Linked DNA regions of Danio rerio. The protein of the gene in region 1 binds, or shares a complex with, the protein of each later gene. Links are inferred from orthologs where the notes say so. Each region holds a gene or a part of one and is shown on either strand. Other genes may lie near its edges.

Region 1 (4,508 bases):
TAATTAAGCAGGTCATTGTATAACAATAGTTTCTTCTGCAGACAATCAAAAAATATATTGCTCAAGGGGGCTAATAATATTGACCTTAAAATGGGTTTCAAAATATTTAAACCTGCTTTTATTCTAGCTAAAATAAAATAAATAAGCCTAGAAGAAAAAATATTATAGGAAATACTGTTAAACTTCCTTGCTCTGTTAAACATCATTTGAGAAATATTTATTAAAAAAAAAAAAAAACATATTCCCAGGAGCGCTAATAATTTTGACTTCAACAGTAATCGTTTTAAATAATCGTGATCACAATTATGACCAAAATAATCGTAATTATGATTTTTCCGAAAATCGAGCAGCCCTACTTTTCACCTACTTTTTTTTAATACTATGAATTTGGACATATTACTCGGCTCACATACTGTTTTTAGCGAACTATATAGTAGGTAAGTAAGCGATTTCAGCCACAGATCTAGTCTTATGCCATAAAACATGTGCATCACTCTTTATTCAAAAATATGTAAATATAGCACATTTTACAACTAACAGAAACCCTGTGTAAGAATTAAGAGATCAACTTTACCTTATGCATAAACACAAGCGCTCTCTCGTGACAGTTGTTCACCTCCTCGTATCCAGGATCCGTGATGCACTTTCCTTTCACCTGTTTTCTCCTCTCTCTCAGGTAGTTGTACCACAATTTGTAACTGCAAGAAACCATGTAGATATTTAGGATTTAAAGCACACAGGTTTCAGTGTAAAAGGAAATGACATGATGACATGTACGCACCTGCCAGGCAACTCCTTTAAAGCTCTTTCATAGATCATGTTGAGCACAGATTTCTGTGCACTTTGCTTGTGCTCAATGTAACGCATCCAGCACTTGACTGAATATGGATTCCTGATGATTTCTTCCTCATAAGGCAAATCATCATCTTCCTGCAAAACAAACATGCCTCTGTGATTAAGATTCACGAACACTGATGAAAGCTAGCTCCAACGTTAGATTATTGAGTTAGTGAGTAACATTTATAGAGGTAAAGTTGTTTTTTAATAGCACATTCGTACAGTGAAAGTGACATGCTCCCTTACCCTGCTACTTTAAATATTAGGTCTGAGATCACCTGCAAGTAAGACTTGAAAACAACATTAGAGCTATTTCTTTCACTGTGAACAGTGTTGTAATTTGACAGTCATGGGTTGCTAATATGATTTTGCTTTATAATCTGCACATTATACTTTTTAAAGTTATATTATTTATATTTTATTACAGCTTTTCTCAGTGGCTTTGGTGCATTTCTCACAACACTATTTACATTTGCACAACAAGTAATGCATTTCTCAAAACAATTAGTCATTTGTGCACATCCTAGTAGCAGTTTCTCATTCCCTCCAACAAATTGCAAATGCTTTTGAACATGCATCAATTGCTTTCATACAATGCTCTGCTGTTTATAACATTATTATTTGTTTATGTCAGTCAAAATTAACTAAACTTGTGAATTCTGAATAGTCATTCCATATTAAACTAATAGTCCTCATTTCATCACTTGAGTCATTACATACACAAATGTTGAACTAGCTGTCAAAATCTGTCGAGCAAATTTTGTAAAAAATGTAAAATCTTTTTTTTTCCTGAAAATGTCTTATAAATTGAACAATTTCATGACTGATTTACAGACCTGTGTATGTTGCAGGTAAATATGTTGTGCAATATTGTTTACAGTTGTGCACAGCTCTATCCAAAGGAAGTTTATGTTTGTTGTAAATAAGGGTGTATTTATTCTTTTGCACAATGCTTTGAATAAATTAGAATGGCAAAGAGCAAATGCAGTAAAAATGTGAAACATACATATTCAGTGTCTTGTACTCAGATAGCTCACTAAATGCAGTGTTGTCTAACTTTACTGGTTTTCAAATGGCTGTGCAAATAGTATATACTGCTGTCTTGAGCATTTACAGAAAGTGTCACCAAATTCTGCCTATTTAGCATTGAAAAAAATTAATAATTCATAATGAAAACAAGACAAAGCCATTTGACTATATTGTTCATAAACAATGGTGTCAAGACTTCTCATTTTGATGATACTGACACTTTCATTGACGTGAATACTTGCTTTTGAGGAATGAACTATCCATTTTGAGCAAGTGACACGCTTTTGCAGGTTATCTTAGGTTTTGCAGTTTGTACTAATTGTTTTGAGATGTGTATTAACTGGTGTTCAAATGTAAATAGTGTTGTGAGAAATGCACCAAAGCTACTGAGGAAAAACTGTAAGGAGAAAGTCAGAATGTGCGAATATAGACAATTTTGAGTGACGTAAACGATAACAGTTGGTTCTAATTTTCATAGCTTTCAAGAAGGTTTACATATTAATAAATAATGTTATGATAGCTGTTTTAACATTAAGTTATGATTGAATTGCCTCCTGTTACAGCTATGAAATAGTTTGACAACAGGAAATGTTCATGGGCCAATGATGTCGCCTCATTGAAAACAAAAACTTTACCTCAATGTAACATTTAGGTGAAAGAAACAGAAATATTTAGTACAGGTTTTTAAAATGTTAATTTTAAATGTTATTTTCTGACACTTAGTAACTGACTAAACAATGATAATAACTTAAAATTAAAGTAAACCTATGCTAACTACTGTTATTCACTTTAAATAAATTATTATTATATGTGAGAGGTGAATTAATGCACAGGACACAACAATTCATTTTGACAGGTAATAATCATATGTGGAATTTATTAGTATTATTAAAAATACTTGTGTGTATCTTATTCAGCTGTAGTTAGCGAGCTAATCACAGCTAGCTACGAAAAGATTGAGAACACTAACAAAACTGACTTTAAAAATAGCTCAGATACATACGAATAAAACGTCCGCCTTTCCGCTTAGCGATGGCATTTTCCCTTGCCTGAATATATCCTCGTTATAAAACTAGAAACTTGTGTTATTGTCAAAAAATACAAACACTTTCCCAACGTGTGGGGATCGTAGAGCACAATAGCCCCGCCTTTTCTGAGTGTACTCGATTCCTATTGGCTGACTTCTCCCATTGCACTACGGTGGCTCAGGAGGCTTTTCTGTTAAAGAGGTGTTTCTCGGTCTGAAGGCGTTTTAATGGAAGAAACCCTGAATAAACGATTTTGGGAGGCAAGAATCGTTTGTTAATCTAAAGAATTAGTCCACTGAGATAGTTTTTGTTGAAGCATCTTTTATGAAAGCAGTTGTGAAATATAAGTACTCGTAATTGTATTGAATGTAAAATCGTGCATACATCAAATACTAAAGGGGTAGTTCACCTAAAAATCCAAAGTAACTCACTTGCGTCCTTAGAAGTTCAGACTTGGAAGAACGAACACCCGAGGACGCAAGTCGGGTACTTCTTCAAATATAACAGCAGTGTACTCTATAACATCACTTACCTAACCATGGATTCATCGGTTTCACTGTACATCAAAAATAAAATGACTAAATTACATGAAGCACGGCCCAGTAATTAATAATATATTAATATTATAAATCTACATTTTTGATTTAAGAAAATGTAAACATACATTATATAAATGTGAAGTAAAATGTGGTTTTATACTTAGACACGTGTCTTTGATTATCATATTTAATGGACATTATACAAGTATAAAGTACAAGACGTACACAATAAGAAATAAATATAACGCTAAGCAATTTGGTAAACAAAGACAAACAGTGTACAACACAGTAACGATTAAAGGGTCATGACTCCTTTCGGTTCAGGTCTGCCTCAGAATTTTTCCAAAAATGCATCATAATGGGCGTGGAGCTCCGCGATCAGAGGCAGGAATGGGCGTGGCCAGCAGAGCAGGGGAGAAAGAGGGGAGCGAACAACTGTTGTCAGTTGGCTCACAAAATGAGACACAAACCTTGAGAAGACTAATGATTTTATAGTTTACAAAGTTAAAATGCAAACAAATAAACAGTAATTTAATACCCTGCTACATTTGTCATTTGTAATTTAAAATACACAACCACAATTTATATTATTGTAAAGATAATCGTGTTATATAAACACTTTGAGGTGAGGACTTTTCCATAAATCCCCAGGTCTGAATGCAGACTCAGTGCAGCAGGTCTCTTGCCCTGCCTATTTCAATCATTAGCCCTGCTGGTAATCTGGATGGATTTAGGCAAAAACAGTAGCACGGCGATGTGTCTAAATGTGAACAAACTTCTGATAAAAGACGACATCCGCCATTCTCCAGTTCTCGTACTGCTCTCCTGACAAAAATGCTTACTGCACACAAACAACTTTGCTGTATCGGCCCTGACAGCATCACGGGGAAAAACATGCAACAAACCCCATGGATCATCGAAACAAACACATACGGCCCTTCATGAACAGCTAAATACTGTGTGCCGTGGGTCAGTGGAAGCTGTTTAACCCAGTCATCAAGGTAGGATCTCACAGCTTGGCACTGGCAGATCTGTCTTGCCTTCGGAAAGCATGTGCAGTCATGAATAATTAAGA
Region 2 (4,324 bases), on another chromosome or scaffold:
ATGCACAGTGTCAAGCCATACTAAATTTCTAACCGGCCAAAGAAATGCGCTATAGGTGAATTGAATAAACTAAATTGACTGTAGTGTATAAGTGTGAATGAGTGTTTTCCAGCACTGGGTTGCAGCTGGAAGGGCATCCACTGCGTAAAACATATGCTGGATAAGTTGGGGGTTCATTCACCTGTGGCGACCCCTAATTAATAATGGGGCGAAGCTGAAGAGAAAATTAATGAATGAAAAGCTGTTTTTACCTTATTTTGTGAATATGACGCTTATGTCTCTGATGCTCACACAGTGTGATGTACTCTGAAATACAAATGTGCAAAATAATCATTAAGTCGTCAAAAACAATATTTAAACAAATTTAGTAGAGAGCTTGTCAAATTACAAGTTGAGAAGAAGAGGTCCGCATTAGGAGCAAGTGATGATCTATCTGTCCATTACTGCTCCCGAGTTAGGCATAAATGGGCATTAAATGCTAATTCAATAGTTTACATGTGTCTGTTGCCTCATTACAAACATAAACAGCAAAGTGAATATAATTTACACTAAACCAACAAAAGATACAGTTCAACAGCAGATTAAACATATTCTATTTTTCCTGAATTTTATGTTTAGACAAGCTGTAAATAGATACTATCTAAAGCAGGTCGCACACCAGAAACTGCTCAGTGCCACGCATTTCAGAATTCTAAACAGAAGTTTCTATCAGGGTCTGTAGCGATCAAATATTCCTGAGGTAACTGTCAGTGTTATTCTCTGATTTGCTTATTTTTCTGTTTTTTTTTTTTTTTTTTACCCTGGATTTACATGAGAATGAGGTGTTTGAGGCTCACACAGTATGTTATTTCCATGCATTAAACTTATTATTAGGCCTATTCAATTATGCATATGTATATCCAGATTTTCTTTCAATGGCAACTTTAGTAATATCACAATAGAAACTTTATAAATCATGATAGTACTATTTAATTAACTGATTCACAAAAATGCAGTACCTTTGCGTTAAATATTGGACTGCTTTTCATGCCAATTCACAATAGTGATTAAATAATTAAACTCTTTTTTTATTTGTGATAGAAATGTACGTGTTGCATTAGTACAAGCAGAAAGCACAATTTAAAAATGTATATTTTAATTACAACTATGCACAAATATACATAACTGATATGTACATCACATTCAACCTATTTGCATTCATTAGTCTGTTTAAAAGACGGTTGTTAGAAGTGTGGGCAGCACAAATACAGGGAGAACATTCAAACTCCAAACTGACCCAGCTAAGGCTCAAACCAGCGACCTTTTTTCTCCACTGTGGCGCCCCCGAAGTACATAATGAATCCAGAGTGTCAAAATGTCAATCAGATTTTACTCCAGTTCACCAGAGGGCGACATACCAAACCTCAGTGGTGAAGAACACAGCCTGAAGTCAAAGGTTACACGCAAGATGGCGGCCAGCAAACGTGTTCTTTATGTTGGTAAGAAAACATAAAATTTATTAATTTAACTAACAAACGTTTTGCTCGTTCAGTTGGCTAGTTTAATCCTCTAGCCTCGTACATTTTTATCGACGCAGTACACGTTTTTAGTTGTATCCGGGAAAGCAGCAATTCATGAAATATGAGCAAGAGTTGAGCGCTCAGTCCGTTTAAAGTGACATATCGCACTAAGTGAAACGTTATTATTATTTTCTAGGTGGTCTTGCAGAGGAGGTGGATGAGAAAGTGCTGCACGCTGCGTTTATTCCTTTCGGTGACATTACAGATATTCAGATCCCGTTAGATTATGAGACAGGTGACAAATACACAGAAGTTACATTTACTTTACAACTTTACCATGTGAACGTACGACCGATTTTTACTACCACTTTAACATCCTGTCTTTACCAACAGAGAAACACAGAGGCTTTGCTTTTATCGAGTTCGAGCTGGCAGAGGTGAATATCATATACATCTACACTGAATTAAGTTAAAATAACGCGAAATGTGCATCATCAAAGTGACATTAACTTTGATGCTTTTTATGATTCACTTATTCAAACAGTGTTGCTACTTTATACACTGTACTGTTGTTTCTCTGCATTAGAAGCTTTGGTATCAATTTGTCACTTAATTAAAGTTCTGTCTTTTCCCCTCTAGGATTCAGCAGCTGCTATTGATAACATGGTGAGTTCATCGAATTTGAATTTACTGAATTCTGTGGATTTATAAAGTTCAACACTATCAGGATGTGCAGAGTGGAGGTTTTTATGCATTTGGTAATGTGTTTTTCAGAACGAGTCTGAGCTGTTTGGCAGAACCATCAGGGTGAACATCGCCAAACCCATGAGAATTAAAGAGGGCTCCTCTCGCCCAGGTGATGGAAAATTGATTGTGGTTGATTTTTCTGTTTAATGTCTTGACACATACTCACTGCCAACTTCTGATTTGTACTTTATAAATATATGCTGTTTACACCCATACCTAAAGCTGAGTTCATAAGAATATATATAAACAAAACTAAGCTAAAAGGTATTGATGCTGTAAACAAAAACATCAGAAAACATCTGTTACAATGATATAGCTCATTAAAATGTAGTTTGCTTTCAAATTTTCAGTTAAATTACATATAAGTTTGAATTATAAAAAGCAGGCTCTTTAGTGTTTTTGTCTTTACTCGTAGCAGTATGTGTTATTACTATTATTATACAGTTATTATTCTAAATAACAAATCAATCCTAAAAATGACTGGAAAACATGCAACAACTTGAGTGATATGCTAAGATGAAATGCTAAGATAACATCATCTTGTGTGCTTTCACCATCGTTGTTTCGGTTGAACAGAGAATAACAAACTTGCACGTGCAAAAGATGTCAAAAGTGAATGGCCCCTAACACCTTTATTCTGGGATTGCCACTCTAAATTAATACACTTGCATAAAGTAAATTATGCTGTTCTGCCTATAGTGTGGTCTGACGATGACTGGCTGAAGAAGTTCTCGGGGAAGAAAGCAGAGGAGAGTGAAGAGGCCGAGTCAGCTGCAGAATCAGCAAGTACAGAGACACAAGAGGTCCGAAAGTTACAGTATTGGTTTATTTATTTATTTTTTGGATGGTAAATAAAATAATAGTAATAACTTAACATTGTCATTTTGATTTTACTGTTTATATATGTATTTTTTTCAAAGTCTAATGCTCCATTTTAAATTAGTTTTATCATTATTACTCTATGATTAAGGTTGTCTGCGGGGTCTTAAAGTATTAAAAGTTGGTAAATTAATGTAGAGAAATTTAAGGCCCTTAAAAGTTATTAAATATTCTTAATTGCTGTTTTGCAAGGTATTACATTTTTTAATAATAATATATTTTATATTATTGTTGATTATGCAATGTATGGTTGTATGCCAAAGTTTGCCTGAATTAAATCTGCAAATATCAGGATGCTGTGTAGTTTATGAAATCCTACTAGATTTGACATCATGCAATTTTGTTTACTGCAGTAACCAAGACAACACCATTATTTCTGCAATTCTATTGGCGTCAATCTGCTGTATTAGATAAAATTAATTTTTATTCAGTATATGAATAGTGTTTTAGTTTTAGATTAGTTTCTTACATTAATATTCAGTAAATATTCTATAAGTTAAAATCTCGCCAGTGTTTCCAGTTGAAACCTAAAGTGGTTTCAAGGCCTTAAAATGTATTGAAAGAGTCTTAAAAAGGTCTTAAAAGGTGTTGAATTGCCCTCTGATGCCTGTAAATACTCTCTGATTGGCATTTTATGTTCCTGAACAGGGAGAACCTCCAGCAAAAAAAGGCAGAACCAATCCTCAAGTCTATATGGATATCAAGATTGGCAACAAACCTGCAGGCCGACTGCGCTTCCTTCTGCGAGCTGATGTTGTGCCTATGACTGCAGGTCAGACATATTTAACCATCTCCTGCGTGTGCTTAAAGTCAGCATGGAATAAAAATTCACCAAATTTTTTATATGTATATATTCATGGTGAACCTATTCTAGCTAAAGTAAAAATGCTAGAAAGTTGTCCATGGTGATTCATATAATGCAAATCTATTTATAAATGCAATGCCTTGAGAGCAGCAACAGCACTTACAAATCAACATAATGACATCTACTTTGCCTGTATAATAGAAATATAAAAATAATATATATATATATATATATATATATATATATATATATATATATATATATATATATATATATACACACATGATATTTTTTTAACTGACATTTTATGAATCATTAAGGACCACCATTTTAGTTGTCATCTGTGATGACCAAAGAGGGAGGAAAATAACAGCATTATCCTTTTAAACTCGGT

Evidence for each region.
Region 2: xab2 (region 1) and ppie share a complex: the UniProt entries of both Homo sapiens proteins name them as parts of the XAB2 complex. The link is inferred for Danio rerio from reciprocal best matches to the Homo sapiens genes XAB2 and PPIE.

What each region holds. Positions count from the first base shown.
Region 1 is NC_133178.1:55,854,050-55,858,557, reverse strand, and holds the start of xab2 (pre-mRNA-splicing factor SYF1), read right to left. Parts: upstream 3,010-4,508; 5' UTR 2,906-3,009; coding exon 2,870-2,905; intron 931-2,869; coding exon 782-930; intron 699-781; coding exon 575-698; intron 1-574. UniProt on the Homo sapiens protein: Involved in pre-mRNA splicing as component of the spliceosome. Involved in transcription-coupled repair (TCR), transcription and pre-mRNA splicing.
Region 2 is NC_133192.1:26,693,104-26,697,427, reverse strand, and holds the start of ppie (peptidyl-prolyl cis-trans isomerase E), read left to right. Parts: upstream 1-1,431; 5' UTR 1,432-1,447; coding exon 1,448-1,478; intron 1,479-1,695; coding exon 1,696-1,794; intron 1,795-1,892; coding exon 1,893-1,936; intron 1,937-2,138; coding exon 2,139-2,165; intron 2,166-2,273; coding exon 2,274-2,355; intron 2,356-2,945; coding exon 2,946-3,049; intron 3,050-3,773; coding exon 3,774-3,897; intron 3,898-4,324. UniProt on the Homo sapiens protein: Involved in pre-mRNA splicing as component of the spliceosome. Combines RNA-binding and PPIase activities.